Anolis sagrei: one gene and its partner. The protein of the gene in region 2 purifies or fractionates together with the protein of the main gene of each other region. This does not show direct contact. Links are inferred from orthologs where the notes say so. Each region holds a gene or a part of one and is shown on either strand. Other genes may lie near its edges.

What was found.
Region 1: the proteins of NF2 (region 2) and AMOTL1 purify together in Homo sapiens (affinity purification with mass spectrometry; 6 studies listed by BioGRID and IntAct, counting the BioPlex papers as one, with this or other methods). This does not show direct contact. The link is inferred for Anolis sagrei from reciprocal best matches to the Homo sapiens genes NF2 and AMOTL1.

What each region holds. Positions count from the first base shown.
Region 1 is NC_090023.1:19,885,691-19,902,045, reverse strand, and holds the start of AMOTL1 (angiomotin-like protein 1), read right to left. Parts: upstream 6,534-16,355; 5' UTR 6,519-6,533; coding exon 6,134-6,518; intron 1-6,133. UniProt on the Homo sapiens protein: Inhibits the Wnt/beta-catenin signaling pathway, probably by recruiting CTNNB1 to recycling endosomes and hence preventing its translocation to the nucleus.
Region 2 is NC_090034.1:48,736,156-48,753,390, reverse strand, and holds the start of NF2 (merlin), read right to left. Parts: upstream 6,861-17,235; 5' UTR 6,831-6,860; coding exon 6,771-6,830; intron 4,640-6,770; exon of another isoform or gene 4,632-4,639; coding exon 4,386-4,631; intron 2,153-4,385; coding exon 2,027-2,152; intron 708-2,026; coding exon 585-707; intron 377-584; coding exon 293-376; intron 1-292. Other genes in the region: NIPSNAP1 (protein NipSnap homolog 1), read left to right, coding at 7,380-7,456, 11,948-12,075, 12,192-12,237, 13,438-13,532, 13,695-13,765, 14,277-14,417, 14,495-14,526, 16,115-16,209 and 1 more. UniProt on the Homo sapiens protein: Probable regulator of the Hippo/SWH (Sav/Wts/Hpo) signaling pathway, a signaling pathway that plays a pivotal role in tumor suppression by restricting proliferation and promoting apoptosis.

The DNA of each region.
Region 1 (16,355 bases), on a different chromosome or scaffold from region 2:
CTCCCAGCACAGGACTCCAAAGCAGCTTTTCTGATAGTCTAGCTCAGTGGTTCTCAACCTTCCTTATGCCGTGACCCCTTCATACAGTTCCATATGTTGTGGTGACCCCGCAACCACAAAATTATTTTTGTTGCTACTTCATAACTGTAATTTTGCTACTATTATGAATTGTAATGTAAATATCTGATCTGCAGGATGTAGTTTCATTCACTGGATGAAATTTGGCACAAATACTGAATATGCCCAAATTTGAATACTGGCGGGATTGTGAGGAATTGATTTTGTCATTTGGGAGTTGTGGTTGCTGGGATTTATAATTAATCTACAATCAGAGAGCATTCTGAACTCCACCCATGATGGAATTGAACGAAACTTGGCACACAGAACTCCCATGACCAACAGAAAATACTGGAAGGGTTTGGTGGGTATTGACCTTGAGTTTTGGAGTTGCAGTTTACCTACATCCAGAGAGTACTGTGGACTCAAACAAGGAAGGATCTGGACCAAACTTGGCAGGAATACTCAATATGCCCAAACATAAACACTGGTGGAGTTTGGGTAAAATATACATTTGGGAGTTGTGGTTACTGGGATTGACAGTTCACCTACAATCAAAGAGCATTCTGAACCCCACAAATGAGAGAATGGAGCCAAACTTGGCACACAGAACCCCCATGACCAACAGAAAATACTGTGTTTACTGATGGTCTTTGGCAACCCCTCTGACACCCCCTCGTGACCCCCAGGTTATGAAATGCTGCTCTAGAGAGCTACACATTCAGTATCCTGGTACTAAAGAACTTTACAATTTCTGAATGGCACTAGGTTCAAAAGATGAGACAATCTGTGCATGGAAAGAGTACATTTTTCTCTTGACTGAGGAGACATATACAGATTCTTATTTGCATCCTAGAATAAGAGATAAAGCTACTGGAAGAACAGCATGGCACTTTAGCAGTACTATGAAATCCTGTTGAGGAAATTACGCACACATCCTTGCCATTCCTATGTACTGAGTACGACTGTTACATTTTCCTATAGAGCGACTTCTTTATGGAAAATGTACAATAGCTTGTCTGTCTTCCCTCACCGGGGAGTAAACCCCACTGAAATCAGGAGGGCCTATGTTTGAGTGGACCTATTCAGGTCTTGCACTGTAGCTCTGACAACTGGGGAATCAATCAAATTTAGTCCTGAATTTATTGTCCATGCAGTCAGAGGAAAATCTCATTATATGATAAAACTATTTCTGAGACCTGAAACGATATCTGCACTGCAAGTGAAGCAGGGACGAAAGCAATCTTCAAATGCTAAAACAATCTCTTCTAAAAGAGTGGCACAATGTACGAACAGTAGCATGTAGCAGCGGTCTAAGAGGATGCTAGGCTTTGATAATAATGACTGAGAACTCACACTTCCTCCAACCTCATATCTTCATGCAACTGCGACAAGCAAAATTATATGATCTTTGCATTCTTGGTTTGTAGACCTTTCAGTCATTTCTGAATAATGACAACCTGTCGTTTCCATTCTATGGCCATCCTTATTTATTTATTTACAGTATGTATATTCCACCCTTCTCACCTTGCAGTGGACTCAGGGTAGATTATAATGAACATATAAATGGCAAATATTCAATGCCATTCAACATTCCAGATTTTTCCAGCTTCATGAGGGTATGCTCGATTCTGACCACAGCGGGAGCTGCCGCTTCACCTTCCACTTTTGACACCGAGTCATTTATTGGAAGGTTTGCACATTGTTGGAAGGTTTTATGGCATCATAAATTAGTTAAATTAACCTTCCTGCATAAAGCGGTACCTAAATTTCCTACTTGACAGATACAACTATCTTTTGGGTTGCAAAGGTTGACAGCAAGCTAGACTAATGACCAGAAGCTCACTTCGACCTGGGTTTGCTTCAAACTCATGACCTCTCAGTCAGTAGTGATTTAATGCAGCTAGCTATCATAGAATCATAGAATCAAAGAGTTGGAAGAGACCTCATGGGCCATCCAGTCCAACCCCCTGCCAAGAAGCAGGAATGTTGCATTCAAATCACCCCTGACAGATGGCCATCCAGCCTCTGTTTAAAAGCTTCCAAGGAAGGAGCCTCCACCACACTCCGGGGCAGAGAGTTCCACTGCTGAATGGCTCTCACAGTCAGGAAGTTCTTCCTCATGTTCAGATGGAACATGAGGAACAGCTATCATCTAGCTGCACCACAGCAGGTCCTCAGGCATCCTTAGTGCAGAAAATTGTGAACAAAAATTAGTTCATAGGGTGTTTGCCTTCCTCTGAGGCTGAGAGAGTGTGATGCGACCAAGGTCACTCAGCAGGTTTCCATGGCTGAGCAGAGATTTTAATTCTGACAGCCAGTCTGCCATTAAAACCAACTAGACCATACTGTCTGTCTTTGCTTTTCATGGTTACCAAACAATAAAAAGGTAGTACTTTCCTCATTTTTAACTAGTAATACCCATAATTATTTACCAAACTGGACACAGCATATTGTTTGAGAACACAGAAATGGTGGACCACTTTAACAACCACCATGTCAGACTATACAGAGAAGCCACTGAAATCCACACGCAGTGGACAGTTTCAACAGAAAGGAGGAAACCATAAAAATGAACAAAATCTGGCTACCAGTATTTTAAAAAAATCAGGACAGTAAATAAAGAACAACACTAAAAAACAGGGGAATTCCAGACATGAAACAATCAGGGCCAGCTAACACCTCCCAACAAAGGAGTCCCCCAGGCAGGAAGCAGCCAGGCTTTGAAGCAGCAAGGCCATTCAATGCTAATCAAGATGGCCAATTGCAACATTCACACCTGCCTCCAACAGACAAGGGTTCTTTCTCCCACCTGGTCATTCCACAGCTATATAAACCCCACTTGCCTAGTTCCCAATAGACTCCTCAACCTCTGAGGATGCCTGCCACAGATGTGGGCGAAACGTCAAGAGAGAATGCTTCTGGTTTGCCACTGCCTTCATCTGTAAAAGAGAGACGGTGACGTGCTCAAGCTCACCCAGTGAGTTTCCAGGGCCAAGCAGGAATTCAAACTGAAACCACTAGGCCACAACAGCTTATAGACATTAATTACCAACAACATAGCAGTACGTCTTGAATAATACACAGGACAGTTATGAAAACTTTTTGAAGACTACTCTCAACCTATAATTATTATCTTCCCCACTGGCCATCACTTTCTTCCTAGCAGGTGACAACAGTGTTGGGATTTATTTTTGCTTTCTTTACTTAATTCCAGAAATAGCCCTCCCTCTCCCATTTCTCCACCCTTGATTTATTGATTCGTCCTGACAAACCGAAATAGCAAGAAGTCTGCAAACAAGTTTAGACTACAGAGTATGTCTTCAAATGGTCTGTGGTCTTATTGCAATTCCAGAGGGTGTTCTAAAGGTTCATCTGCACCTTAGGAGGAGTGCAGTTTGACACCACTTTGACTGTCATGGCTCAGTGCAATGGGATCGTGAAAGTATGTACAGATTTCTGTTGGTGGTACTAAAATGTGTGTGAGTTTTACAATGGATTGCATTTTAGAATCGAACAAAATATGGGTTTCTTCATTTATAGTCAGTTCTCCCTCTTACAGCAGTTCCATGATTCCATAGCACTGAGGCTGGGATGTTAAAGTGGTGTCAAAGGGCATTTATTCTGGGTTGCTGTGCATTTTCCAGGCTGTATGGCCATGTTCCAGAAGCATTCTCTCCTGACATTTTGCTTGCCTCTATGGCAGGCATGCTCAGAGGTTGTGAGGTCTGTTGAAAACCAGGAAAATTTGGGTTATATTTCTGTGGAATATCCAGGGTGGGAGAAAGAACTCTTGTCTGTTTAAGGCAGGTGTGAATGTTGCAGTTGGCTGCCTTGATTAGCATTTAATAGCCTAGCAGTTTCAAGGTCTGGCTTCTTACTTCCTGGGGGAATCCTTTGCTGGGAAGTGATTAGCTAACCCCAATTATTTCCTGTGTGGAATTTCCCTGTTTTTTTTTAGTGTTGTTCTTTATTTACTGTTATAATGTTTTTTAATACTGGTAGCCAGATTTTGTTCATTTTCATAGTTTCCTCCTTTCTGTTCAAATTGTCCACATACTTGTGGATTTCAGTGGCTTCTCTGTGTAGTCTGACATGGTGGTTGTGAGAGTGGTCCAGCATTTCTGTGTTCTCAAATAATATGCTGTGTTCAGGTTAGTTCATCAAGTGCTTTGCTATGGCTGGTTTCTCTAGTTGGATTAGTCTGCCTTTCCTTTTCTTTAATTTGTGTTTGGACAATGCTGCTGTGTGGTGGTCCCTATGTAGACTTGCCCACAGTTGCATGGTATACAGTAGACTCCTGCAGAAGTGAGAGGATCCCTCTTGTTCTTTGCTGAACGTAGCATTTGTTGGATTTTCTTAGTGGGTCTGTAGATCATTTGCAGATTGTGTTTCTTCATCAGCTTTCCTATGTGGTCAGTGGTTCCCTTGATGTATGGTAAGAACACTTTTCCTCTGGGTAGATCTTCATCTTTATTCTGGTGGCTTGTTCATGGCCTTGCAGCTCTTCTGATGTCTGTAGTGGAGTCTCCATTGGCCTGTAGAGCCCAGTTTAGGTGGCTTGGTTCACCTTGGGAGGAGGTGGGGTTTGCAGATTCATTTTGCCAGTGCTTTAATTGTGCTTCTTTTTTGGACTTGGATGATGGTTGGAGTCTTTATGTAGATATCTATAAGGTGTATGTTTTCTGTAAACATTCACACTTGCCTCAGGTAGACAAGAGTTCTTTCTCCCACCCTGGACATTATTCCACAGATATATAAACCCCATTTTCCTAGTTTCCAACAGACCTCACAACCTCTGAGGATGCCTGTCATAGATGCAGGCAAAACATCAGGAGAGAATGATTCTGGAACACGGCCATATAGCCTATAAAACTCACAGCAACCTAATGATTGTGGCCATGAAAGCCTTCCACAAGCCATTAAAATCCACAAGAAAGGAAGAAACCATGAAAATGAACAAAATCTGGCTACCAGTATTAAAAAAACTCTAAAATTATAACAGTAAATAAAGAACACAGGGGAACTTCAGACAAGAAACAACCAGAAACACCTAATTACCTCCCAACAAAGGATTCTCCCAGGCAGTAAAAGGTCACTCCTAAAAACTGCCAGGCCATCAAATGCTAATCAACGTTAAAACATTCACACCTATCTCCAACAGACAAGAGTTCTTTCTCCCACTCTGGACTTTCCACAGATATAGAATATATATTTTTCCTAGTTTCCAACAGACCTCACCACCTCTGAGGATGCTTGCCATGGATGCAGGCAAAATGTCAGGAGATAATGCTTCTAGACCATGGCTGTAGAGCCCGAAAAACCTACAACAGCCCTTCCACAAGCCATTTATTCTCTATCTACAGCAACTTAAGCGGGTGAGGGAGGAAAGGAAGGGACCGGAGAGTGTTAGAAACGGTGGGAGTTGAAGTCCAAAACAAAAGGCTTTCCCATTCCTGACATAGATGCACTTTGGAAAAGTAATCCCACTGAGGACCTTTGGCAAACTCTCCTCCCCAAGGAACAACAACTCACAGCAACCCAGAACAAGAACTGAAGCTTCTTCCAGGGCACATCTCAAGTTTGTTGACATTTCAGAAGGCGAGGAATACCTAAGTTGGAGGAAGGGGCTTGCAAAGGGGGATGAGAAGCCCTAACAGTGCCAGGCAAGCTCCAGCATCGCCTTCACCGCCTGCAGAGAGAAGGAGCCGCTTGGCAGCCAGGGCGCTTCTCTCCCAAGACCTGGGGATGGGGTTCCCCTTTTCCACCCTCCCTCCATCCGCTGCCCACCCCTCTGCACGACCCTCCCCTGGATTTCCCCCTCTTTCCAGCCCCGCCAACCCAAAGGGGAGGCTTGGAAAGGAGAGGAAACCAGAGGCGAGGAATGGCGCAAAGCCTTTTCCAGCGCGCAACGCTTGGCGCTTTGACAGCCTTTTGCGCGACTCGACCCGCACTTTGGGGCATCCCGCCTTGGCTAAAAGCGGAAAAGAGGAATGCAAGAGGGGCAAAGGGAACCCCCTTCCTCCTCCCGGAATGAACAGAATGCCAGGGAGTATGATTCCCCCCTTTCTTTTACCTCCTGCCCAAATCATAGCAACTTCGCGGCGTCTTAAGCTTGGCCCATGGGTTCGACGTCTCCAGAGCTGCCTCCTCCTCCTCCTCCTTTTCCTCCTTCTCTTCCTTTCTCCTCCTTCCTTTCCCCAACCCCGTCCGGTCCCTGGAAGGCTACGGCGCCCAGGCAGCAGGGACTCGGCTTCCCAAAGTAATCCTACCCGGGGAAAAGCCCGCCGCGCCCTCCGAGGCCGGCGCCTGCCAGGTCCTAGCGCGCCTCGCCACCGCCCAGGGCTTCTCCAAGGCGCCCCTCCACGCTCTCCACTGACAGCGCCGGGATTCCCCTTTAATGGCTGCCCATCCATCCCATGGCATCCCAGGGCTTGTGGTTTGGAAGGGGCATCCCACATCCCCAGCCTGAGAGGCATCCAGTGCCTCACCAAGGATGCATCTACGCCAGGAAACCCTGGAATGATTTCAGAAGCTTGGATTTGGAAAACAGAGTCAATAGGTTCTTGTGGGTTTTTTCGGGCTATAGGGCCATGTTCTAGAGGCATTTCTCCTGATGTTTCGCCTGCACCTATGGCAAGCATCCTCAGAGGTAGTGAGGTCTGAACATGGCCCTATAGCCCGAAAAAACCCACAAGAACCTAGTGATTCCATCCATGAAAGCCTTCGACAATACAGAAATAGTCAACTTCTTACACCAGCCAACATGCATTTTGGGGCCTCAAAGATTAGTCATATTTCTGGGAATATATGACTTGCTGATTCCAAGACTGGCAACTGTTTCCCCCTATCACAGGCACAGGTGATTTGGACTTCAACTCTCACAATTCCTCAAGCCTCAGGCCCCTTCCTTTTCCTCCTCAGCCGCTTAAGTGGTTAGGAATTGTAGGAGTTGAAGTCCAAAACACTTGGAGGGACTGGTGTTTTTGGTCTTCCTTGGTATCTGTCTTCCATTGTTTTTATGTCTTGGTGAAATTTCTCACCTTGGTCTTAAGTCACTTCCATATCGAAGAAGCTAGCACAGATGTGGTCTATCCAATGCAATGTTCTGAATCAGCACCCCAAATGACCAAACCAAATCTAAAGCTGACCAAAAACTGATTGGTACTAATGTTGAAGAGTAGTCCCTGGTCAAGATGGTCCCTGGTCAAGTGGTCCCTGTTAAGGTGGTCTCTGGTCAAAGTAGTCCCTGATCAAAGTGGTCTCTGGTCAAAGTGGTTCCTGGTCAAGGTGGTCCCTGGTCAAGGTGGTCCCTGGTCAAGGTGGTCCCTGGCCAAAGTGGTCCCAATCAAGGTGGTCCCTGGTCAAGGTGGTCCCTGGTCAGAGTGGTCCCTAGTCAAAGTGGTCCCTGGCCAAAGTGGTCTCTGGTCAAAGTGGTCCCTGGTCAAAGTGGTCTCTGGTCAAAGAAGTCCCTAGTCAAAGTGGTCCCTAGTCAAGGTGGTCCCTGGTCAAAGTGGTCCCTGGTCAAAGAAGTCCCTGGCCAAAGTGGTCTCTGGTCAAAGAAGTCCCTAGTCAAAGTGGTCCCTAGTCAAGGTGGTCCCTGGTCAAAGTGGTCCCTGGTCAAAGAAGTCCCTGGCCAAAGTGGTCTCTGGCCAAAGAGGTCTCTGGTCAAAGTCGTCCCTGGCCAAAGTGGTCCCTGGCCAAAGAGGTCCCTGGCCAAAGAGGTCCCTGGTCAAAGTCGTCCCTGGCCAAAGTGGTCTCTGGCCAAAGTGGTCCCTGGTCAAAGTGGTCTCTGGTCAAAGAAGTCCCTAGTCAAGGTGGTCCCTGGTCAAGGTGGTCCATGTTAAAGTGGTCCCTGTTAAAGTGGTCTCTGGTCAAAGTGGCCCCTGGTCAAGTGGTTTCTGTTCAAAGTGGTTTCTGTTCAAAGTGGTCCCTGGTCATGTGGTCCCTGGTCAGAGTGGTCCCTGGTCAAAAAAAGGTTGGGAACCACTGGTGCAGATGCACCCAAAGACATTTTGGAGATACATACAGTATGATCCCCATATCCACAGTGGATATGTTCTTAGATTTCATATGGATGCACAAAACCATGGGTGATTGTGAAATGAAGGACATTTGGCCCAGGAAGAGTCAGGCTGGAAGACCTCAAACATGCCCAGAAAGGACATTTTTGGTCAGATGTGGATAAATGAAACCATGGATATGGGGATTCTATTGTATAAATGATAAAATATTATAGCAACAGAAGAAGGTTGCCTTGACACAGCTTTCAATCAGTCCTTATTACAGCAAACACAGATGGTGGCTTCCAAAAGGATAGTGGCTGAGAACAAGAGGGAATAGGAATATGAAATAAATCGATATAATAAAATCCAGCGAGTGTAATCTCTGACTCATCCATAGCACAGAGTCCAATGATGGTGTTTAGTTATTGTGGGATGTAGAATGACAGCTGAGAAAGAAAAATGGAAGGTGGATGGGGGTTAATGAATGGAGAAAGCGGTTCTTTTAGGGAGAAGGGAAAACAGCAAAGCTTTGTTGGAAATGTCTCATGCTGGGCCTCACAATTATTATATCAGTGTCATCCACAGCAATTAGATTTGGATTTAGTGTGTATGTACTAGACTGACTCATTTAATTGTTTGTAACAAACAATGTGCTTTGCCCACACAAGAACCACTCAAGGTTTCTTGCTATCTGAACGAAACAAACAACAACAAATGGCATTCTCCAGTAGAACAAAATTACTTATTTAATTGCCTAGTAGAAAAGCCATCATAGTGTAGTATTTTGATCACTGAGTTACAATGCTAGAGTCCAGGTTTGAATCTCTGTTTTGCTATGGAAACCCACTTGGGCAAGTCACATTCTCTCAGGGTGCGTCTACATTGTAGACTTAATGCAGTTTGACACTACTTTGAACTGCCATGGCTCACTGCTATGAAATCATGGGATCGTTTTGCAAGGCTTCTCTGCCTGTCCAATAAGCCCATATCATTGAGCCATGGCAGTTACTGGAGTGTCAAGCTGTGGTTTTGTTCTAGAATGCATATTACCATGAACTTCTCTTGACCCAAATCACAGCTTACTCTTAGGTGAACATAATAATAATAATAATAATAATAATAATAATAATAATAACAACAATAACAAAAACAACAAACAAACAAACGCCATCAAAGCCAGAATTAAAAAGTCGATGACAGATCCCAAATGTAGATGTAGGAAGCAGATGAAACAATAGATCACATCCTCAGCTGCTGCAAGAAGATCGTGCAGACAGACTACAAGCAGAGGCATAACACCGTTGCCCAGATGATTCATTAGAACTTGTGCCACAAATACCATCTGCCTGAGACAAAGAACTGGTAGGATCGCAAGCCTTAAAAGATTACAGAAAATGAACACATCAAACTACTCTGGGACTTCTGGATTCAGACAGAGTTTGGGAGCACAATACTCCTGACCTCACAATCGTGTTAAAAAACAAAGTATGGATTGTCGATGTTGCAATCCCAGGCGACAGCAGGATTGAAGAGAAACAACTGGAAAAAATGACACATTATGAGGATTTAAAGATCGAACTGCAAAGACTCTGGCACAAGCCAGTCAAGGTGGTCCCAGTGGTGTTTGGCACACTGGGTGCAGTGCCTAAAGACCTTGGCCTGCATTTGAACACAACCGGCGCTGACAAAATTACCATCTGCCAGCTGCAGAAGGCCACCTTACTGGGATCTGCACACATTATTTGCCAATACATCACACAGTCCTAGACACTTGGGAAGTGTCTGACGTGTGATCCAATACAACAGCAGCAGAGTAATCTTGTTTGCTGTGGACTCATCTTGTTGTGTTTCTAATAATAATAATAATCATCATCATCATCATCATCATCATCATCATCTTTATTTATACCCCGCCACCATCTCCTCACAGGGGACTCAGGGCAGCTAACATGAGGCCAAACCCAAAATTACAGTACAGCAAAATAGTCCACACAAGCAAATAATACTTCAAAATAAAAAAAAATGAAATAACAAAGTATAACAAAATATAAAATAAACAAAAGTAAAATAACTTGATAGAGAAATAAAACACAGTGGGCGGGCCAAATGCAAAGGATAAAATTGATAAAATCCTGGGTGAGATAAGTAAATGGAGAAGAATGTGTCTGAGAGGTGAGCTTAGAAGGGGCGAACAATGGGATTGAGCCTTTATTAAGGACGGGAGAAAGTGCATCATGAGGACAGTACTGTAGTTGGGACGGACATGATATGGGGATATGTGTTCACTTTGTAAAACTACAGCTCCCACAATTCTATAGCATTGAGCCATGGCAGCTTAAATTGGTATCAAATTGCATTGATTCAACACTGTAGATGCACCCCTTATTATGTACTGTGTAGTCCAGTGGTTCTCAACGTGTGAGTCCCCAGATGTTTTGGCCTTCAACTCCCAGAAATCCTAACAGCTGGTAAACTGGCTGGGATTTCTGGGAGTTGAAGGCTAAAACACCTGGGGACCCACACATTGAGAACCACTGGTCTAGTCAACAGCATTTGCAAAGTTTCATCTATAACAGTGGTTCCCAACCTTTTTTTTGACCAGGGACCACTTTCAACATTAGTACCAAAAGGGTAATGAATCAGTTTTTGGTCAACTTTAGATTCAGTTTGGTTATTTGGGGTGCTGATTCAGAAAATTGCATTGGCTAGTCCACATCAGCTCCAGTTTCTGATACAGAACATATGCCATCCAGTAGTTGCCATCTGCTCGTCCATAGAAAACTATATTTAATAATCTAGAGATGATGTAGTAGTAGCAATCTTTAGTGGGTAGTCAGCCTCCCCCCTCCTGACATCTCCATTGCCTCAGCACTATAAGAGGGCTTTGTGAGACCAGTCACTCTCATTGCTGCATGGCAATGGTGTAGTAATGGTGAGGCCGCAGACCATATTTTTGTTCTTGCAGACCACTTGTGGTCCAAGGACCACTGGTTAGGAATCACTGATCTATAAGAAGTATTTAAAGCAAATCCTCACCATTAGCTAGCCTATTCTCATCACATTCTGGTACTAGGCACAGAAAGAAATCTTGTTTTAATACTCCTCTAATTAATAGGCACGATGAAATCTTTGCCATGGTGACCAATGTACATATTTATAGCACATTTCTTGGTGCGCTTTCTCCAATGTACAGAGCCGCGGTTGAAAAGAGCACCCGAAATAAAGATCCGCTCCACATCTGTTTTCTCTATTTGGATGGAGGGTGCTCAATTCTTTCTTTCCCTTAATAATCTGACCTCTTTTGTTTCTGACAAGGGGATGCTGTGAGGCAGATCTCTCCGGCTGCTTGGATTCGTGCCAAGCTCAGATGAGGTCAGAATGGGGGGAAAAGACAGCAAGAAAAATACTGGGCAAAGGGAACATGGAGTGAGCGAGCGCTCGTTCTCACAGCTGGATGGCCACAGAGTAATCCGGACAAACATTTGGGGGGATTGTGTCTTGAAAAGACCATCAAATGGAATTACAGATTTCTCGCTGCAATCGTGCCATGGCAGATGTAAGAATAGCCCAAAGCTTTGACACCTGTCACCAACAGTAAGCTGCGTCTGTGTCTCTTTGCCAGGGCTTTGGTCTGCATGCTGAAGTCTGAGCGGGTGTTGCATCAGCTCCACACCAAGGCACAAAAAAGATCCTTGTAGGAGTTAAATTGTAAGTGCAGGGGTAGGAAACATTTGACAAGCAAGCTTCATAAGGGGCCTAGATCCTACTATACAAACAGCAAAGGAGGAGGCAGAAGAGGAGAAGGAGAAAGATAAAGATGAGGAGGAGGAGGAGGAGAAGGAGAAGAAGAAAACGGGGAAGAGGAGGAGGAAAGGGGAAAGTGATAATGAAGGAAGAGGAGAAGGAGGAATTATTTTAATATTTCGGCATACTCAAAAACAGGAGAACCATATTGCCAACAGGATTCTGGGAGTTATAATCCAAAAAAGTAGTACAGTATGACCCGCATATCCACAGAACATATGTTTTCAAGGCCCTGTGTGGTTACCTGAATCTATGGATAATAGGTAAAGGTAAAGGTAGTCCCCTGACATTAAGTCCAGTCATGTCTGACTCTGGGGTGTGGTGCTCATCTCCATTTCTAAGCCAAAGAGCCAACGTTGTCCGTAGACACCTCCAAGGTCATGTGGCCGGCATGACTGCATGGAGCGCCGTTACCTTCCCGCTGGAGCGGTACCTATTGATCTACTCACATTTGCATGTTTTCGAACTGCTAGGTTGGCAGAAGCTAGGGCTGACAGCGGAAGCTCACACCGCTCCCCGGAATCGAACCTGCGACCTTTCGATCAACAAGCTCAGCAGCTCAGTGCTTTAACCCACTGCGCCACCGGGGGCTCCCCTATGGATAATAACGAGCCCTATATTCTGATTATACTTAGGCCAGAAACATACTATAGAACCACACTAGAGTATGTAGATAGGCTCACAAATACTTCAAGAGCAGGGAATGTTTTTTGGAGTGTATATAAGTGAAACTGTGGATAAGGAGGCCAAACTGTGTTTTTAAGCTTTGGTTTGGATTAATGTCCCGGGGTTCTGACACTCAACCATCAATGAATCACTCAAAATAAAGTCACCAGGATCATACAGAACATGGTATCAATCACAAAACTGCCATAGGGAAAGGATAAGTTCATAAACTATTAATTTTGCGCTGTAGATGCATTCTTCCCAGTTTAGATCCAGGGAAGTCATGCTCCCCCTCTATTATGCCTTGGTCAGACCACACCTGGAAAACTGTGTCCAATTCTGGGCACCACAATTGAAGGGAGATGTTTAGAGGAATGCGGCTAAAATGATCAAGGGTCTGGAGAACAAGCCCTATGAAGAGCGGCTTAAAGAGCTGGGCATATTTAGCCTGAAGAAGAGAAGGCTGAGAGGAGACATGATGGCCATGTATAAATATGTGAGGGGAAGTCATATGGAGAAGGAAGCAAGCTTGTTTTCTGCTGCCGTGGAGACTAGGATGTGGAACAATGGCTTCAAACTACAGGAAAGGGGATTCCACCTGAACATGAGGAAGAACTTCCTAACTGTGAGTGCTGTTCAACATTGGAACTCTCTGCTCCAGAGTGTGATGGAGACTCCTTCTTTAGAGGCTTTTAAGCAGAGGCTGTATGGCCATCTGTCAGGGGTGCTCTGAATGCAATTTTCTTGCTTCTTGGCAGAGGTTTGGACTGGATGGCCCATGAGGCATCTTCCAACTCAATGATTCTATGATTCTTAAGTCTGTTCTTATCTAAAGAGCAGCTAAAAAGCTCCTAGTTGTTCTTCTGGTGGTTTTTTAAAAAACCTTCCATCAGAATTGAATAAGATAGGCATTCAAAGAGAGAACATCTTCAAGAAGGAGTGCCTTCCAATAAAGCAGTGGTTCTCAACCTGGGGTCCCCAGATGTTTTTGGCCTATAGCTCCCAGAAATCCCAGCCAGTTTACCAGCTGTTAGGATTTCTGGGAGTTGAAGGCAAAAAACATCTGGGGACCCCAGGTTGAGAACCACTGCAATAAAGGAATAAGCAAAGTAGGACACTTGGCCACTCCTTAATAGAAGGAGGCTGCATAGCTTTCTTCTGTTCTATGAATCCACCGATGCATCTACATTGTAGAAATCATTCAGTTTGATCCCACTTTAACTGACATGGTCAATGCTGCGGAACTTTGGGAGTTCTAGTTTGGTGAGACACCAGTTTTCTCTAGTAGAGAAGATAAAAAACCTTGTAAAACTACAACTCTCGTGACTGCATAGCATTGAGCAATGGCAGTTAAGGTGGGGTCAAACAGAATTAATTCTGCATTGTAGACGCACCATTTGTTCTTCTATATCTGGAGTTCTTGCTACATATTTCTGATACTCTTGGCTATATATTTTTCACCACTGGCACCCATTACTTATAGGTTAGGGATAAAAAATAATTTGGTAGGTTTGCCCACAACCTAGAAATTACAACATGCATGTAATTAGTTACATTGATATAACAAGGATACAACAAAATTTCCTTTTTAAAACTATGTAACAAGTAAACAAAAATAACAAATAATTGAGTATTTAGTTTGCTACAAAGTTATTGTCAATTGGTGTAAAAAAGTACATGTAGTCCCCAAGTTACAAACAGGATAGGTTCTGTAGATTTGTTCTTAAGTTTGGGTCCAGGCTATTTGTCCAACCGCATCTCCCTATATAGACCATCTCATGCACTGCAGTCAGCAGAGGAGACCCTGCTCTCGTTCCCACCTACATCTCAAGCTTGACTGGTGGGAACAAGAGAGGGGGCCTTCTCCATGATCGCTCCTCATCTCTGGAACTCCCTCTTCCCTAAAGAAATAAAAACACCCCCACCCTCCTCTTCTTTAAGAAACTTTTAAAGATGCACTTATGCAATTTAGCATATGGAGAGGAGGAAGACCAAGATACTACTCCACCGAAATGCTGACAAACCCAGTTGCACTATATGTTGGCTAAGATACATTTTTAATAATCACCTATGTTAGCCATTTTAAATACAATTAACGTTTAACTGTTTTTAATGATATATATTTAATGTTTACACATGTTCTCGTTTATTGACTAAGATGGTTTATTACTACCTACTAGTCCCTATTTCAGCGTTTAGTTATTTAATTATAAGTTCACTTTTAATTATTGTTTATTATTGTATTATTTATTATTTGTATTATTTATTATTTTGTATTATTCCTGATGTTGCTTGTTACGTGTGTGTGTTTGTGTGTGTGTGTGTTTACACGTGTCTGGAGTTACAGTTAAAAATGTATCTGTTCTGACTTACATAGTAATTCAACATAACAACAACAACAACAACAATCTTTATTTCCAGACCGTACCTCTATCCCAAATGGGACTCAGGGTAGTTTACAATACTCTCTCTCTCCATATATATATAATACTATTCTCTCTCTCTCTCTCTCTCTCTATATATATATATATACACACACACACAATACAATACTCTCCCTCTCCCTCCCTCCCTCCCTCTCTCTCTCTCTCTCTATATATATATATACACACACACACAATACTCTACTTTTACAAGTCTCTCTCTCTCTCTCTCTTTCTCTCTCTCTCTCTATATATACACACACACAATACATTACTCTCCCTCCCTCTCTCTCTCTCTCTATATATATATATACATATATATACATACACACACACAATACTCTACATTACAATACTCTCTCTCTCTCTCTCTCTCTCTCTCTCTCTCTCTCTCTATATATATATATATATATATATATATACATGCTTTGGATAGCATAGGAAAGGGTTAGTACCCCTGGGGAGTTTGTTTTGCTGTCTATTCAGGAAATTTTGCCTGAATTCTGTCCCTGTGATAACTGGATTTTGAAAAATTGGGCTGTCTGTGTAAACAAAAATTGGTGATAAAGCATCAGTGGAGATACATTTTCCCCCATGATAACACTTTCAGGAGTTAATTTCTCCTCTAAGGGATAGATTTATCCCACTTCCTGTTGTCTCATCCCTTTTTCTAGCTTCCTGCTGTCTCATCCCTGTTCTTAACAATGAGTCATTTATAAGTTGGATGTTTGTAACTTTGGGAATGCCTGTATGTAATAGTGTTTTGGGTGTTGGATTACAACTCTGGAGTCCAAGGTTTAAATTCCTACTCAACCACAGAAACCCACAGGGTGACCTTGGGAAGTCACATTCTCTTAGCTTCGGAGGAAGATGCCTTGCTAAGAATCCCCTGTGATAAGGTCACCTTGATTCAGAAAAAATATTGAATACTGTTACATGGCACTGTTAAACATTACTCCTGAACAAACATGGCTAGAACTGAGCTATGTTTTACATGCTGCTTTGAGTCTCCATGTAGAAATAAATAAATAAATAATAACAATAACAACAACTTTATTCTTGCACCCCACCTCTATCTCCCCAAAAGGACTCGGGGTAGCTTACATATGACACAAAGTGCCTAAGGCAAAACATAAAATAAACACACACTACATTAAGTAAAGTAAAAACTATAGCCTATAAAAACAATTTAAAACTCAGAAAAAGCTGAGCATAAATAGACATAAACACAAGAACAACAGCTTTCATATACTGGATTACTGCTGTATAGATCCAGGTATAACTGAATAGGACATTATAAATCAGGAATTTGGTGTTTGTTTTTTTCTGTGTCAGGAGCAACTTGAGAAACTGCAAGTCATTTCTGGTGTGAGAGAAATGGCCATCTGCAAGGATGTTA
Region 2 (17,235 bases):
CTTCTCCAGCTCTGAGACTTACTTTTTCCCTTCTCCAACTTTGAGAAGAAGGCCTACTTCCTCCCCTTTCCAGTTCTGAAAGTGGAGTTACCTCACAATTTCTCCATGACAACATCGCTTGTTCATCCCTTCCTGCCTTCCCCTCATATACATCTCACCTTTCTTTCTTTCCAAATTCATAAATCCTAATTTGACACCACAGCACTTGGAATGTCAAAGAAACAAAAACTAAGGTCTAGTATGGATCAAAAGTGGAAGAAAAAGAGAATTCAGATGATAATTTCGAGCTTACCTTGGCTTGAACTGCGTAAGAAGCGAGAAGGACGGAAGCTTCAGGAGGACAGTAGATCTTCTCGTCTAAAATCTGCTTCTTGACCTGCAAGAAGAACAAGAAGTCTACCTTTCATGTGCCGGATTTAACAGGGACAGCTTTGGACTACAACTCCCAGCCTTCCCAGAATCCTAAAGTTGGAAGCAACCCTCCAAGGTTCAGCTAGTCAACCACATTCCATCATTCCTGAAAGATGCCCACCTGAGCTCTGTTTGGAGATCTCCAAAGATGGAGACTGTCATTCTCTACGTACCTGAAGAAAGAATAAGTGTTGCGTGATTTCCTGGACCAGTTCCTCCTCTGCATTCTCTGGGTAAAACTTGGCCAGGAAGTGGAACGTGACTGGCTCCTCCTTCGGGACATCGTGGTCCAAGACCTGCAAAATTGGCATGGATTCACAGTATTTCATAGATCTTCAGTCTCTCTCCTGTCTCAAATATCATATTTGACATAAGTACCCAATAAATGAGACACGAAGCTGGAGAGAGACTGAGGATCCGTGCAACGTTCAGCAGTGTAACTCTCTGCCCCGGAGTGTGGTGGAGGCTCCTTCTTTGGAAGCTTTTAAACAGAGGTTGCATGGCCATCTGTCAGGGGTGTTTTGAATGCAATATTCCTGCTTCTTGGCAGAATGGGGTTGGACTGGATGGCCCATGAGGTCTCTTCCAACTCTTTGATTCTATGATTCTATGAGGACTCATGCTATTTGATTCTCACCATTTCATAGATCCTCAATCCCTCTCCTGTCTGAAATACTGTATCATATTTGACATAAGTAACGAATGGATGAGACATGAGGCTAGAGAGAGACTGAGGATTCGTGAAACAGTCGGACATGAGGATTCATGCTATTCGATTCTCACCATTTCATAGATCCTCAATCCCTCTCCTGTCTGAAATACTGTATCATATTTGACATAAGTAACGAATGGATGAGACATGAGGCTAGAGAGAGACTGAGGATTCGTGAAACAGTCGGACATGAGGATTCATGCTATTCGATTCTCACCATTTCATAGATCCTCAATCCCTCTCCTGTCTGAAATACTGTATCATATTTGACATAACAAATATAACAAATTAGTGAACAAGATACAAGGTTGGATATATGGGGCTGGAGAGAGGAAATGGTGGGAAATGTGGATTCACACCGAACTCTACACTTGGATTCACACCACTTCATAGATCCCCGTCTCTCCCCATTCTTGAGTATCATATATATACAAGTAACAAACGAACAAGACGTGAAGCTGGAGAGGGACTGGGGATCTATGAACTGGTGAGAAGTGTGGATTCACACTGAACACTACTATTCAGGTCACACCACTCCCCAGTCTCTCTCCGGTCTAGGGTATCACACATGACACAAGACACGAACAAATGAGACAAGAGGCTGGAGAAAGGCTGACGATCCATGGAACAGTAAAATGTAAAGATGCACACTGAGCGTTACAATTCAATTCTCACCATTTCATAGATCCTCAAACTCTTTGCATTTTTGAGGATCATAAATGATACAAGTAACAAACAAACAGACGAGACAGGAAACGAGATAAAGATGTCAGTCTGGAGAGAGACTAAGGATCCTCAGTCTCTCTCTAGCCGCGTGTCTCATTTGTTGGTCTCATACCTGACACAGGTAGTGAATGAACATTCAGATCCATAAAAACAAATGGTCAAGTGCCTCGTCCTTACCTTCTTATCCATTTTGAGCCAAGCCATGGTGTCCTTGATCATGTACTGCAGCCCAAAGAACCATGTCTCGCGGAGCCCCAGTGTTCGGCAGACAAGGTCAAAGAGGTCCTTCCCTTTCCATTTGACCTGCGGCAGAAAACCAAGGGTTAGGAAGTCCTGCTGGAAGACCTAGAACATTCCTAGAGAGGGGTCTAGGGTCATTTCCTGTGGACTCTATGGAAATACCGAGATGAATTTGCAAGCATGTCTCTATGGGAACTTCGGGGAGACACATAGCATACATACCATACACAGGATATTCCGCTAGCTTTATCTTGTTAAGATGCATCTGAACTACATGGATGACCTCCTTATAAATGAGATGACTGTGGGGATGCTATTCCACTGGACAGTGATTAATGATCTTTGTGAAGTGTGATGACACTTCACAAAGATCATTAATCACTGTGTATTAAAAGCACTCACAAGAAGGTAAGGCTCATTCTGCCAAAATGATGCATTAAAAGCACTCATAAATGGCAAACGTGATGACACTTGCCATTTATGAGTGCTTTTAATGCATCATTTTAGCAGAATGAGCCACTTTTGATCTATTAGTAGGCACTCGTTCCTTATTAACAAATGCGTCACAAACCAAAGGCTCTTAATAAGGAGAAATACTCACAATTTGGGGGAAAACACATTTCACAAATGAAATTTTTGGGAAATACTCGCATTTCTGGGATAGAAACTGGATGTTGGATGTTTGTTATACACCAGGTTGAGTGTCCTTTACCCAGAAATCCCTATTGAAATTAAGGATTTCTGGCACAAGAATACCATAGAGTCACAATGGACGGCCTAGAAAATGCCTAGAGAGGATGTACAGTATTTTGAATAAATGAAGCTATGGATAATAGAGGACCCTACTGAAATACTGGACAACCATAGAGGACAAGACTTAGACGTAGACATGGAGGACCTAGAAAATGACTAGAGAGGACATATGATGGGACAGCGCAAAAATGCTACTAGTAAATGCGCCCAAGTATTTTAGAAGATAACAGAGGGGTTTGCGAGTTTCCCTTCCATTTATTCCACCAAAGACTACACAAAAAAAGCCATGTAGCTCCGCCGCACAACACAATTTTAATCTACTTCTGCGGCGCGATGAAGCAATCATGACTTTGAAATGAAAAGCTATTTCTGCTGTCCAAAGAGCCGGCAATATGTGTCTCATCTGAACCAAGGTGGAGTACTGTGGGCCAGACTTTGTGTGGATATGTGAATTGGGGAAATGAAGAAAGGACTTCCTGTGCAGGAATATCACAGAATTGTGCTGGAGGACCAAGAAAATGCCTAGAGGGAGGTGACATATTTAGCCAGAAAGAGACAAATGAAACCACAGATCAGAGCAAAACCTACTGAAATTACTGATAAATGCAAAAATGAAGGATGTCCTGCACAGGAAGACCATAGAGGCGGAATGGAGGACCTAGAAAATGCCTTAAGGGGACATATTCCATTGGACATTGTCCAGATATTGGAGTCGTACTCTATCAGCAATTGCCTTCCCTTTGTTGCTTTGAACAAGATAGGCTCTTTAGGTTTGTTCTTAAGTGGAATTTGTATGTAAGTCAGAACACATCCATTTTTTAAGGGGAACTCCAGCCAAATATACACATATACATATACGTGTGTGTGTGTCTATATATGTGTAAATCTTTATTTATATCCCACCTTTCTCCCCATGGAGACTCAAGGCAGCTAAGATCTATCCAACCTCTCTCTCTCTCTCTCTCTCTCTCTCTCTCTCTATATATATATGGTTTTGCTTTGCAGCACCCCTGTTCTTAACTAGTCAGGTGTTTGTAACATGGAGACTGTCTGGTTTTTGGAGGCTTTTCTGGCCTCAAAGCCCCTTGGAATACTATCACTACCGTAGTCCAAGGGTGCCATTGACACTGCTAGAATACAGTTGAGTGCCACTGTAATGCTACAAGGCCCTGGGAGTTGTAGTTTCCCAAGACCTAGAGTCACCTGCAGGCTGAGAGAGGTGGTATACAAATGTAGCAAATAAATAAATAATAATTTTTTGCAGCCTTGCCCAACGACAAATCCCATAATGCCATTAGGCTTAGGCCATCCTGGAGATTTCTCGCACAAGAACCCTCGTCGTTATTCCAGCCATTTCCTGTACAGAAATTATATATGGCTGCACTATACATCCCAAAAACAAAGGGCTACTCCCAGGATCCTGCAGCACTGAGTCACAGCCGTTCAGATGATGTCCAAGGGCACCCATGCAACAGTGTCCTTGGGCCCTTTCCTGTACAGAACCCAATCCTGGCCCAAGGCCACACTACAAATCCCGGCTCACCTCGCAGTTGAACTCCATCTCGGCCTCCATGGTGACGATGCGGACGGTGAAGGTCTTGGGCTGCTTTCTCTTCAAGGAGCTGAAGCTCATCCGGGAGGCGATGGCGCCGGCCATCTTCAGGGCCTCTGGGAGATCTAGTTGGCCCCACCGGAAAGTCAAGTGCGCCAAGGGGGGGCAGCCAAAGGGCCCCCCAAAAGATCCATTGGAATGGGCAGAGGGTTGAGGCAAAGAAGGCTTTATCCGGCCCTGGACATCTCAAAAGACGGACAAAATGATCAGTGTAGAAGTTGATTGATTGATTGACTGGTTGACTGGCTTAAAGAGATGTTTCGATCTGTAGGTTTTGGGGGAAAAGGCATTATATTCTGAGTAGATGGATTAGACTAATAATTGCTCAGTTGTTGATCAATTGACTGAATGATTTCGGAATATTGGCGGAAGGAGGGGCTACGCTGGATATATTAATTCAAAGAGAGGTTTTTATGGGGGGGGGGGTTCTATTAACCTATGCTTTTTAATGAACAGATGGGATTACTTGAACAATCGACTGATCGATGTATAGATTGATTGATTCATCCATCAATCTACAAATGGATCTATGATTGATTGGATGATTAATTGGCCGGTTGAATGATTTGAAGTGAGGTGCTATTGGAGAAAGAAGAATAGTGTCCTATGGTTTTTAAAGGATGCTTGGGATGATCGCTCAGTTGATCAATCAGTCTCTGAACTGATCAATCAATACATTGATTGATTGATCAATATATCAATTAATCAATTCAGAGACTGATTGATTGGCGGGTTGAATGATTTAAATGGAAGAATTGGAGGAAAGGAGTGTTTCTATTCTCTGATGGTTCTTAAAGAATGGAGGGGACAATTGATCAATTAATCAATTGATCTGACCAATCGATTTATAGGCAGATTGACTGACTGCCGAGTTGTCTGAGTGATTTAGAGGATTTGGGGGAGGGGGAGAGCAAGGTGCTATATTGGTTCTTAACAGCTAGATACAATGATTGATCAATTCATTATTAATCGATCGATCAATCAATTAAGAGTTTGGGGAAATATTAGTAGAGGAAGGGGCTACATTGGATGGTTTGATTGATAAGATGGTTTTGATTGGGAGGGTTTCTATTGTCCTATAATTCTTAACAAAGGGATAAGACAATCGATCGATGCAGGGGCCTTGGTGAAACGAGAGGCTATGTTGGACTGATTGATAGAAAGAGAGGTTATTATTGAGGTTGAGAAAGCTTTCTATAGTCTTTATGGCTCTGAACGGATGGATGGGATTCCTGATCGATCGATCAGTCAGTTGGTTTAGAAGCATTGGTTTATATTGGAGTGACTGATTGAAAGACGAGTTATTATCGTGACAAAGGTTTTAATTTCTTGTTCAATCAGAGGCGGCCCTAGGTAATTTTCAATGGTAAGCAAACAGTATTGTGGCACCCCAGCCAATCACTGATATATATTTTCTGTTTGTCGTGGGAGTTCTGTGTGCCATATTTGGTTCAATTCCATCATTGGTGGAGTGCAGAATGCTCTTTGATTGTAGGTGAACTATACATCCCAGTAACTACAACTTGCATATGTCAAGGTCTATTTTCCCCCAAGAGCGCCCCTGGGAAAATCAACTATACTGCAAATGCTTACTTTGCGTAATGGGTTGAGCCGCCCCTGTGTTCAATGGTTCTCCAGGGATGGGTGGGACAATGGATCAATTAATCGATTGATTGATTAATTGATTGAAAGAGATACTTATTGGGATTTTTTTGGGAGACTTGGGGTAAAGAAGTGTCTTTCTTGTCCTATGAGGGAAATGAATGGGATCATTGATCAATCCGTCCATTAACTGATTAATTGATCAATCCATCAATCAATCAATTGATCAGTCCATCCATTGACTGATTCATCAACTGACTGAAAAAGTGTTTTGTATTGGGAGACCCTTGTCCTATGATTCGTATTGAAGAGTTAGGACAAGGGATCAATCAGTGGATCGATTGGAATAGTTTTAGGGAGGATTGGAAGAGGGAGGAGCCAAACTCTGGCTTGGTTTATTAACAAAGAAAGCTTTATAGGGAAAATGGGGGGAGGGAAGAGTTTCTTTTCCTTCGAGGATATAATAAATATCGATTATCTATTGATTGATTCAAAAAAGGCCACTTATGGGGCATAAACGGCTTTTTTCCAATCTTAAGAGGAGATGAGGGGGAAGGGAGGCCTACGAAAGCCGTTTCCCTCATGTTTTGGGGTAAAAACGGAAGGAAAGGGGGGAAATCAGGGGTGCGGGGGGGTATACGGAACAGCCCCCTGAAAGCGCGGGGGGAGGGAAGGGGGAACAGCCCCCCCGAAGGAAAAGAAATCGGCCCTCACCTCCGCCGCCGGAGCCGGAGCTGCCACTCCTCGTCTCTCCCGCTCCCGATTGGTTGGCATTGGCCACGCCCCCTCAGGAGGCGGGGTTGAGGCCCAACGCTGCCTAGTGGTTGCCTCTCCTCGTCGTTTGCTATTGGTTGTGGAGGGAAAATAGGCCACGCCCCCGAAGAGGCGGAGCGGGCAATTCTTTTCTTTTGGAATCCTATTTTAAGGAGACATAGAGGTGCCTACGAGATGGCTTATGTGTTATACTTCCGGGTGCCGATAGAAAAACGAGGCGCCATTTGCGAGGCGGGAAAATGGAAAGCAACTCTTTCCCCCTCGGCTTTTCAAACGAAACCCGAAGTGTTAGATGTCTGTCTTAAAGGGAAAGGGTAATGAGTGTTCCGATTGGTGCGTTCGCCTGCCATTTGGCCCCCAAAGACCCGCCCTCTCCATAAAGGCCATTGTAATTGGCTGGCTGGGAAAGAGCGCCCCCTCGAGGAAGAAAGGCCGAATGACGTTTGTTGCTAAAGCAAGGCCTCGCGGCCCCGCCCCTCTTGAGACCAAGCCACGCCCCTAAATAAAGGGGCGTGCCCTCCTTCGCCTCCTGGTTCGGAGAGGGAAAAAATGGCTGCTACGCGGAAGCTGGTTTTGGAGGCTCTTCGGGGCAGAGCGGCCTTTTCCTTTTCTAGCCTGGGCTTCCGGTAGGAATATATGTTATATACACATATGTTACATACATGCAGCAATACTCTTAATATGTTTAGGAATAGATTTAATATATTGGGCAATAGTATTAGGAATAGATTTAAATTATATTCAAATAGTTTGACTATATTGGGGAATATATCTGATGTATTTAGGAAACATTAACAACCTCAGATATGCAGATGACACCACTCTGATGGCCGAAAGCGAGGAGGAGCTGAGGAGCCTTCTAATCAAGGTGAAAGAAGAAAGCGCAAAAGCTGGGTTGCAGCTAAACGTCAAAAAAACCAAGATTATGGCAACAAGAATGATTGACAACTGGAAAATAGAGGGAGAAAATGTGGAGGCTGTGATAGACTTTGTATTTCTAGGCGCAAAGATTACTGCAGATGCAGACTGTGGCCAGGAAATCAGAAGACGCTTACTTCTTGGGAGGAGAGCAATGTCCAGTCTCGATAAAATAGTAAAGAGTAGAGACATCAGACTGGAAACAAAGATCCGCCTAGTCCAAGCCATGGTATTCCCTGTAGTAACCTACGGATGTGAGAGCTGGACCTTAGGGAAGGCTGAACGAAGGAAGATAGATGCTTTTGAACTGTGGTGCTGGAGGAAAGTCCTGAGAGTGCCTTGGACTGCAAGAAGATCCAACCAGTCCATCCTCCAGGAAATAAAGCCCGACTGCTCATTGGAGGGAAGGATACTAGAGGCAAAGTTGAAGTACTTTGGCCACATCATGAGGAGACAGCAAAGCCTAGAGAAGGGAATGATGCTAGGGAAAGTGGAAGGCAAAAGGAAGAGGGGCCGACCAAGGGCAAGATGGATGGATGGCATCCTTGAAGTGACTGGGCTGACCTTGAAGGAGCTGGGGGTGGTGACGGCCGACAGGAAGCTCTGGCGTGGGATGGTCCATGAGGTCAAGAAGAGTCGGAGACGACTGAACGAATGAACAACAACAAATTTAGGAATAGATTTAGAAACAGGTGTAATATATGTAGCAATACTTTTAATATATATTATATAATATAAATATATGTAATATATATAGGAATAGATTTAATATATTTAAGGTATTTAGGAATAGATTATACACACACACACACATATATACATATATCAATACTTTTAATGTATCTAGGAATGTAATATATTGAGGAATATGTTTAGGAATAAATTTAATATATATATAGCAATACTTTTAATATATAATATATATTGTATAAATATATATTATATATTTAGGGATATTTCTAATATATTTAGGAATATATATATAATACAGCAATACTTTCAAGGTATTTAGTATCTAATATATTTAGGAATATAAAGTAAAGGTTTCCCCTGACATTAAGTCTAATCGTGTCCAACTCTGGGAGGTTGTGATCATTTCCATTTCTAAGCCGAAGAGCCGGCGCTATCCATAGACATCTCCAAGGTTATGTGGGTGGCATGACTGCATGGAGTGCCATTACCTTCCTGCAGAAGCTGTACCTATTGAACTACTCATATTTGCATATTTTCAAACTGCTAGATTGGCGGAAGCTGGGCCTAACAGCAGGAGCTCACCCCACTCCTCAGATTCGAACCACCAACCTTTCACTCAACAAGTTCAGCAGCTTAGCGGTTTAACCTGGTGTGCCATCAGGGGACCCATTTAGGAATGTATTTAGGAATATGTATTATATATAGAAATGGAGCCCCCGGTGGCGCAGTGGGTTAAAGCACTGAGCTGCTGAGCTTGTTGATTGAAAGGTTGCAGGTTCAATTCTGGGGAGTGGCGTGAGCTTCCGCTGTCAGCCCTAGCTTCTGCCAACCTAGCAGTTCGAAAACATGCAAATGTGAGTAGATCAATAGGTACCGCTCCGGTGGGAAGGTAACGGCGCTCCATGCAGTCATGCCAGCCACATGACCTTGGAGGTGTCTACGGACAACGCTGGCTCTTCGGCTTAGAAATGGAGATGAGCACCACACCCCAGAGTCAGACATGACTGGACTTAATGTCAGGGGACTACCTTTACCTTTTTATAGGAATGCATTTAGGAATATATATATATATATATATATATATATATATATATATATATATATACAGTCTCTCTCTCTCTCTCTCTATATATATAGAGGAATATATCTAATATATTGAGGAATACATTTAATATATATAGCAATACTTTTAATATAATTAGGAATATAAGTGATATACTTAAGAACATATTTAGGAATGTATTTAATATTCCTAAATTATTGCTATATATAGCATTACTTTTAATATATTTAGGAATATATCTAATATATTTAGAAATATATTTTATATATATTGCAATACTTTGAATGTTTCCTTTCTCTGTATCAAAGTTAATGAATGGCCCGCTTCAGGCCAAAGGTTTCACCCAAGGCCAATGGGGGTGCATTTCTACTTGATTTTATGTTATGTTTATATTATTCCTAGCTTTTATTATTACTTTATAATATAATATTATTATAGTATAGATTTCCATTATGGTTATATTATTTTTTACATTGTTATTGTTTTATTCAGAATATTTCCAATTCTGGGAATATTACAGAATCTGTGGATATGGCGCCTATCCAAAGTGGGATATTAGTATAATAATAATAATAACAACAATACTTTTATATTACTTATTATTAGTTTTAGTAATATTAGTATTTAATAATATTCTTAATAATATTAATATGTAATAGTATATATATATAATAGTAATAATACTGAAATATATACACACATATGTATAGTATATAATAGTAATAATACTGATACACGCATACGCATATATAATAGTAATAATAATAGTAATACTGATAAACATATGTAATAGTAATATTTTTTTTATCGTGTCAGTTGTATTACATTTTTGACAGAACAAACAAACAAACATACAAAAGACACAGAGTTTGCAAACTTGGTAGTTGATTAAATGTCCTTTGACCAGTGCCTCTGGTGTTGCCGCAAGAAGGTCCTCCATTGTGCATGTAGCAGGGCTCAGGTTGCATTGCAGCAGATGGTCAGTGGTTTGCTCTTCTCCACACTCGCATGTTGTGGATTCCACTTCGTAGCCCCATTTCTGAAGGTTGGCTCTGCATCTTGCGGTGCCAGAGCGCAGTCTGTTCGGCGTCTTCCAAGTCGCCCAGTTTTCTGTGTGCCCAGGGGGGAGTCTCTCATTGGGTATCAGCCCTTAATTGAGGCTCTGGGTTTGAGCCTGCCACTTTTGGACTCTCACTTGCTGAGGTGTTTCAGCGAGTGTCTCTGTAGATCTTAGAAAACTATTTCTTGATTTAAGTCATTGGCGTGCTGGCTGATGCCCAAACAAGGGATGAGCTGGAGATGTCACTGCCTTGGTCCTTTCACTATTGGCTACTACTTCCCGACGGATGTCGGGTGGTGCAATACTGGCTAAGCAGTGTAATTTCTCCAGTGGTGTAGGGCGCAGACACCCCGTGATAATGCGGCATGTCTCATTAAGAGCCACATCCACTGTTTTAGTGTGGTGAGATGTGTTCCATACTGGGCATGCATACTCAGCAGCAGAGTAGCATAGCGCAAGGGCGGATGTCTTCACTGTGTCTGGTTGTGATCCCCAGGTTGTGCCAGTCAGCATTCGTATGATATTGTTTCTAGCACCCACTTTTTCCTTGATGTTCAGGCAGTGCTCCTTGTAGGTCAGAGCACGGTTCAGAGTGGCTCCCAGGTATTTGAGTGCATTGCAATGCTCCAGTGGGATTCCTTCCCAGGTGATCCTCAGAGCTCAGGATGCTTGTCTGTTCTCCGAAACTCTAGGTGCTCTTACTGCCTACTACAGGGAAAACCAGCTGATCCCTAATCCATCTAAAACACAGATGGCTTTTCATCTCAAGAACAGTAATACCAATATATACATATATACATTATATTAGTAATTATAAGAGTAATAATGCTGATATATATGTCTCTGTTTGTGTAATACTGATATATATATACACAGACACACACATATATAATAGTAATAATACTAATAATAATCCTTAATAATGTAAAAGTGTTTTTGTTATCATAGGCCCAATGTAATAATATATCGATAAGAATACTAATAAAACTAATAATAATCCTTAATAATATAAAACTTTTGTTGTTATCATAGGCCCAATGAGGACCAAAGCAATGAGCCCAGGCTGTAATAGTAATAATAATATCTATTAATATATTATTATTGTTATTATTATTATTATTACAGCTTGGCCTCATTCCTCTGGTCCTCATTGGGCCTATAACAAAGTGCTTCCTTTGTAATTGTTATTCCTTTCTTTTCCATGTATATATATGGAAATGTCATCATACATCTATATACACACACACATACATGAATATATATACGGTATTTCCCACCATCTACTGGGATGAGCAATGAGATACCATCGCAACAGTATTATTACTATATATTATATTATTATAATATATTTTATTATTATTTTATTATTAATATTATTTGCAGGCATTATTCCCAGGAGGGTGAAAGTAGCTGGTTCCGCTCGCTCTTTGTGCACAAGGTGGACCCTCGGAAGGATGCCCATTCCACCCTCTTGTCCAAAAAGGAAACCAACCACCTCTATAAAATCCAATGCAAGTATCTGATTAATACTCAGATTCATTCATAGTCATTGTATTCATTCATAGCTTTACATGCATTCATAGCTTTGCTCTTTGCATTTATTCATAGCTTTTTCTCTCTGTTTCAGTCCACAATGTGAAGCCCGAATGCTTGGAGGCTTATAACAGCCTGACGTAAGTCTCTCGATTGGGGAAAAAAAGGAATATAACTCCATAGCAGGTATGGGCAAACCCAGGCCCGGGAGCCGGATGTGGCCCCTTGGGCTCTTTTCTCAGGCCCTCCTCTCTCAAACCATCCTATCCTTCCCTCCCTTCCTTCCCTCCCTCTTTTTCCTTCCCTTCTTCCTTCTCTTCTACCCTTTTGTCCTTCCTTCCCTCTCTCCCTCTTTCTCCTTCCCTTCTTCCCTTTTGTCTTTCCTTCCTTCTCTTTCCTTTATCCTTCCCTTCCTTTCTTCCATCCTTCTCTTCCTCCCTTCTCTTTCCTTCCTCCTTCCCATTCATCCTTTCTTCCTTCACTTTTCTTTCCTTCCTTCCCTCTTTCCTCCTTCCTTACCTCTCCCTTTCTCCTTCCATCCTTTCCTTCCACCTTTTCATTCTTCCTTCCCTTTTGTCTTTCCTTCCTTCTCTCTTTCCTTTATCCTTCCCTTTCTTCTATCCTTCTCTCCTTTCTTCCTTCTCTTATTTCTTCCTCCTCCCCTTTCGTCTTTCCTTCCTTTCCTCCCTCCTTCCCACTCTCCCTCTTTCTCCTTCCATGCTTCCCTTTCTTCCTTCTCTCTTTCTTTCCTCCTTCCCTTCCTTCCTCCCTTCCTTCCATCCATCAATCACTGAGCAGTCAGGGAGTGCTAGCATGCGGCCCCCAAGTTACAAAGTTTGCCCATGCCTGCTCTATAGTAATAGTAATATCTATATATATAGAGAGAGAGAGAGATTTTATTTCTAAAAATATTTGATATCGTTTCTTGTTCCTCGTGTCTGCCTCTCAATGGATTTCATTAAGCAAGAATTCATGTTCTATCACAGTGTTATTATTCTTTTGTATTTCATTATTATTACATTATTATTTTAGTCTGCAATATTTATGCTCAATATTTTATTATTTATATTATATTCCTTATTTTACTAGTAGTATTATTGTTATATTATTATATTATTGTTATTATTACTATTACTATATTATAATATTGTTGTTGTTATTATTACTATTGTACTGTAATATTATTTTAATATTATATTGTTGTTATTATTTTAATGGAAGCCAGAACCACACTGTGTTTCTTGGTCATGATGTAACCCCGCCCCCCCTTCTCTACAGCTGCTCATCTCCTATAGAAGGGGATAATGGGAGATGTAGTTCTTCCTGCTTTTCTTCCTCAGGGAGGAAGTCCTTCCGAAATTGCACTTGGATGCCAATTATCCTTGCGATTTGGTTGGAAACTGGAATACATGGTACGGCGAACAGGACCAAGCAGGTAAGGAAGAGAGATAATATATCCCATCATCCACTGAAATTAGCAATGAGCTACCATCTTAAAAGTATTATTATTATTATTATATGTTCATTATTATGTATTTATTATGGTGTATTTAATATTGTTATTATTATTATTGCAACATTATTATTATTTCTGCAGTTCACCTTTGGCGGTTTTCAGGCGGCTACCCGGCTCTGATGGATTCCATGAACAAGTTGAAACAGAATAAGGTCTTGAAATTAAGATGATTATTATTTTAATTAATTTAAATAGCAATAGTTTTATTATTATCATGCAGTGTAGTCGTATTTATATTTATTATTATTATCATAACTTTATTATTTGTATTATTATGCAATGTATTCATTACATTATTATCACTTTAATATTTGTATTATTATGTATGCAGTGTATTGTGGTATTATAATGTATTCATTATATTTATGATGATTATTATTGTCACTTTATTATTTGTATTATTATGCAAAGTATTGTAGTCACAATGTATTCATTGTATTTATTATTATTAATATCACTTTATTACTTGTATTATGCAATGTATTCATTACATTGCTTATATATATATATATATATATAAAACTATATATTCATCATATTATATATATCAGTATGATGCTGCCATGTGTTCATTATATTTATTATAATTTATTATGATGAGTCAATGTATTAATTATATTCTTATATATATTATATCTACATATATCTCTATATTCATTCTAGGAATATTTGGAATTCCGTAAGGAGAGGAGCAAGATGCTGCTTTCTCGGAGGAACCAATTGCTGCTGGAGTTCAGTTTTTGGAACGAACCTCTGCCTCGTTCTGGGCCAAATATTTACGAATTGCGGACATATAACTTAAAAGTAAGCAAACAGTGGATGAAAAATACGATTTCAAAAATTACTAAAATAATAACGATTCCTCTGTGTTTTGCTTTCAGCCTGGGACCATGATTGAATGGGGAAATAACTGGTAAGTAACACTCTCTTCCAAAAATATCATCATTATTATTACTATTATATATTTTATTAGGAACCCCTGGTGGCACGGTGAGTTAAACCACTGAGCTGCTGAACTTGCTGACCGAAAAGTCGGCAGTTCGAATCCAGGGAGTGGGTTGAGCTCCCAATGTTAGCCCCAGCTTCTGCCAACCTAACAGTTTGAAAACATGCAAATGTGAATAGATCAATAGGTACCACTCCGACGGGAAGGTAACAGTACTCTATGCAGTCATGCCACCGACATGACCTTGGAGGTGTCTATGGAAATGTCGGCTCTTTGACTTAGAAATGGAGATGAGCACCACCTCCCAGAGTCAGACTCAACTGGACTTAATGTCAAGGGGAAACCTTTACCTTATATATAAGACTACATAATAATAATAATGTAATATAATAATGTTTTATATATATATATATATATACATACAGATTTTCCTCTTATTCCTACATATTTTTCTTTATTAATGCATATTTTCCTCCTTTTATTCTGTATTATCGATCTATCCATCCACCAATCTATCCATACACTAATCTATCCACAATTTCTTCTAGCTAGCTAGCCATCCATCCGCCAATCTATCCATAATTTTTACTAATCTATCTATATCCATCTATCCACCTACCCACCAATCTCTTCACAGTCTATTTATACTTGAAAGACCCATATTTTTTCCAGAAAATCACTTTTATTTAAATGTTTAAATACATTACACAGACCGTCAGGACTCAAACCAAGAAATCTGTTGCTTCACAGGTTTCATCACCTCAATGCCTGTCCAAAGAGGTCTTTGAATTCCACATTCCCCAATACTTTTGAGGGGAGATTCCTTTGGATATGCCAGCGTAAATTCTGACCCAGCCCATGCCTTTTGATACTTGGTTGTCAACAGTTCACTTAGGACAGACACTGCTAGTTATTGGCCTTAATATCTGCAGCAAGAGGTGTTCTAAAAACTAGGGGTCCTCAAACTTTTTAATCAGAGGGCCAGGACACAGTCCCTCAAACTCTTGGGGAGCTAGATTATGATTTCAAAAGAACATGAATAAATTCCTATGCACACTGCACGTATTTGTAGTGCAAAAACCACTTAAAAACAGTACCATAATTTAATGAAGAACAATTTTAACAAATATAAACTTATTAGTATTTCAATGGGAAGTGTGGGCCTTCTTTTGGCTGATGAGAAAGGATTGTACTTGTTGTGTGCTTTCAAGTAGTTTCAGACTTAGGTTGACCCTGAGCGAGGCCTGGATATATGACCTTGGAGGGCCATATCCGGCCCTCGGGCCTTAGTTTGAGGATCCCTGGTATAGACAAATCCCCAGAAGAGCCAGAACATCCATGACCCTTCTAACAGAAATGTCTTGTGCAGAATAAACTTCTGGCTTGACACTGGTTTAAATGAGGGACTGCAAGATGACATAAATTTAAGTTGGGAAATAACGCATCTGTCTGCGCCATTATGGTCCCAATCCCTTAAAGCCAAGTAGGTGCTTTAGCGGTACAAGCAAACAAACCTGTGTTGCTCTCGCTCTTATCTTTACCTTGATTTCTGCAGGGCCCGGGCCATAAAGTACCGCCAGGAGAACCAGGAGGCCGTGGGGGGCTTCTTCTCCCAAATTGGGGAGCTCTACATTGTCCACCACTTGTGGGGTGAGTGGCCATTTTGAGTTTGGCCATGAATCCCCATATCCCCCAACCACAAAGGCCCAAGGACTGGGATCTGGGTCTTGGAAGTCAGGGGACTTCTCTCCTTCCCTTTGCAGCTTATCGGGATTTGCAGTCACGAGAGGAGACCCGAAATGCTGCCTGGAGGAAGCGGGGCTGGGATGAAAACGTCTACTACACAGGTCAGGCCTCCCGGGAGGCCACACCCCTTCCCTTAGGCCATGTCCCCATTCTGACCCTTTGAGGCCTTGGTCCCGCCCCACCCCTCTCTCTGACTCCACCCCTCCTGCAGGCCATGCTCCTGGTCCAACCCTTCCAGACCCCAGTCCTACCCCCCCCCCTTAGATCCTGCCTAATCTCATAGGCCCCACCCTTCCTTAGGCCCCACTCCTAGTCCAACAATTTCAGACCTTGATTCCACCCCCTCATTTAGACCCCACCCCAGTCCAATTCTTGGAGACCTTGGTCCCGCCCCTTTCTCAGACTCCACCCCCTCACTTAGGCCCCACCCCTGGTCTGACTCTTCAAGACACCAGTCCCACCCCCTCCCTTTGACTCCATCCCTCCTTTAGACGCTGCCTCCGGTCCAGCCTCTTGAGGCCCTGATCCCACCCTTCCCATTCCTCTTGACTCCACCCCTCTTTTAGATGCCCCTTTCTCCAGTCTGGCCTTTAGAAATCCTGATACTGCCCGCTTAGATGCCAGGCCTGCCCTCCTCAGACCCTCCCCTTCCCTTAGATGCTGCCCCCAGTACAAACCTTTTCAGACCCAGATCCTGCCCCCTCCCTTAGGCCCTGCCCCTGGTCCTACACTTCCAGACCCTCATCCCGCCCTCTCCCCTAGGCCACGCCTCCTCCCTTTGACTCCATACGTCCATTATACCCCCTCTTCCAACCTTTAGAGACCCTGATATCACCCTCTCACTTAGACCCCAGGCCTACCCCTCTATTTAGCTCCTCCCCTCCCTTAAGGCCTGCCCCCCCAGTGCAATCCTTCAAGACCTCAGTCCCA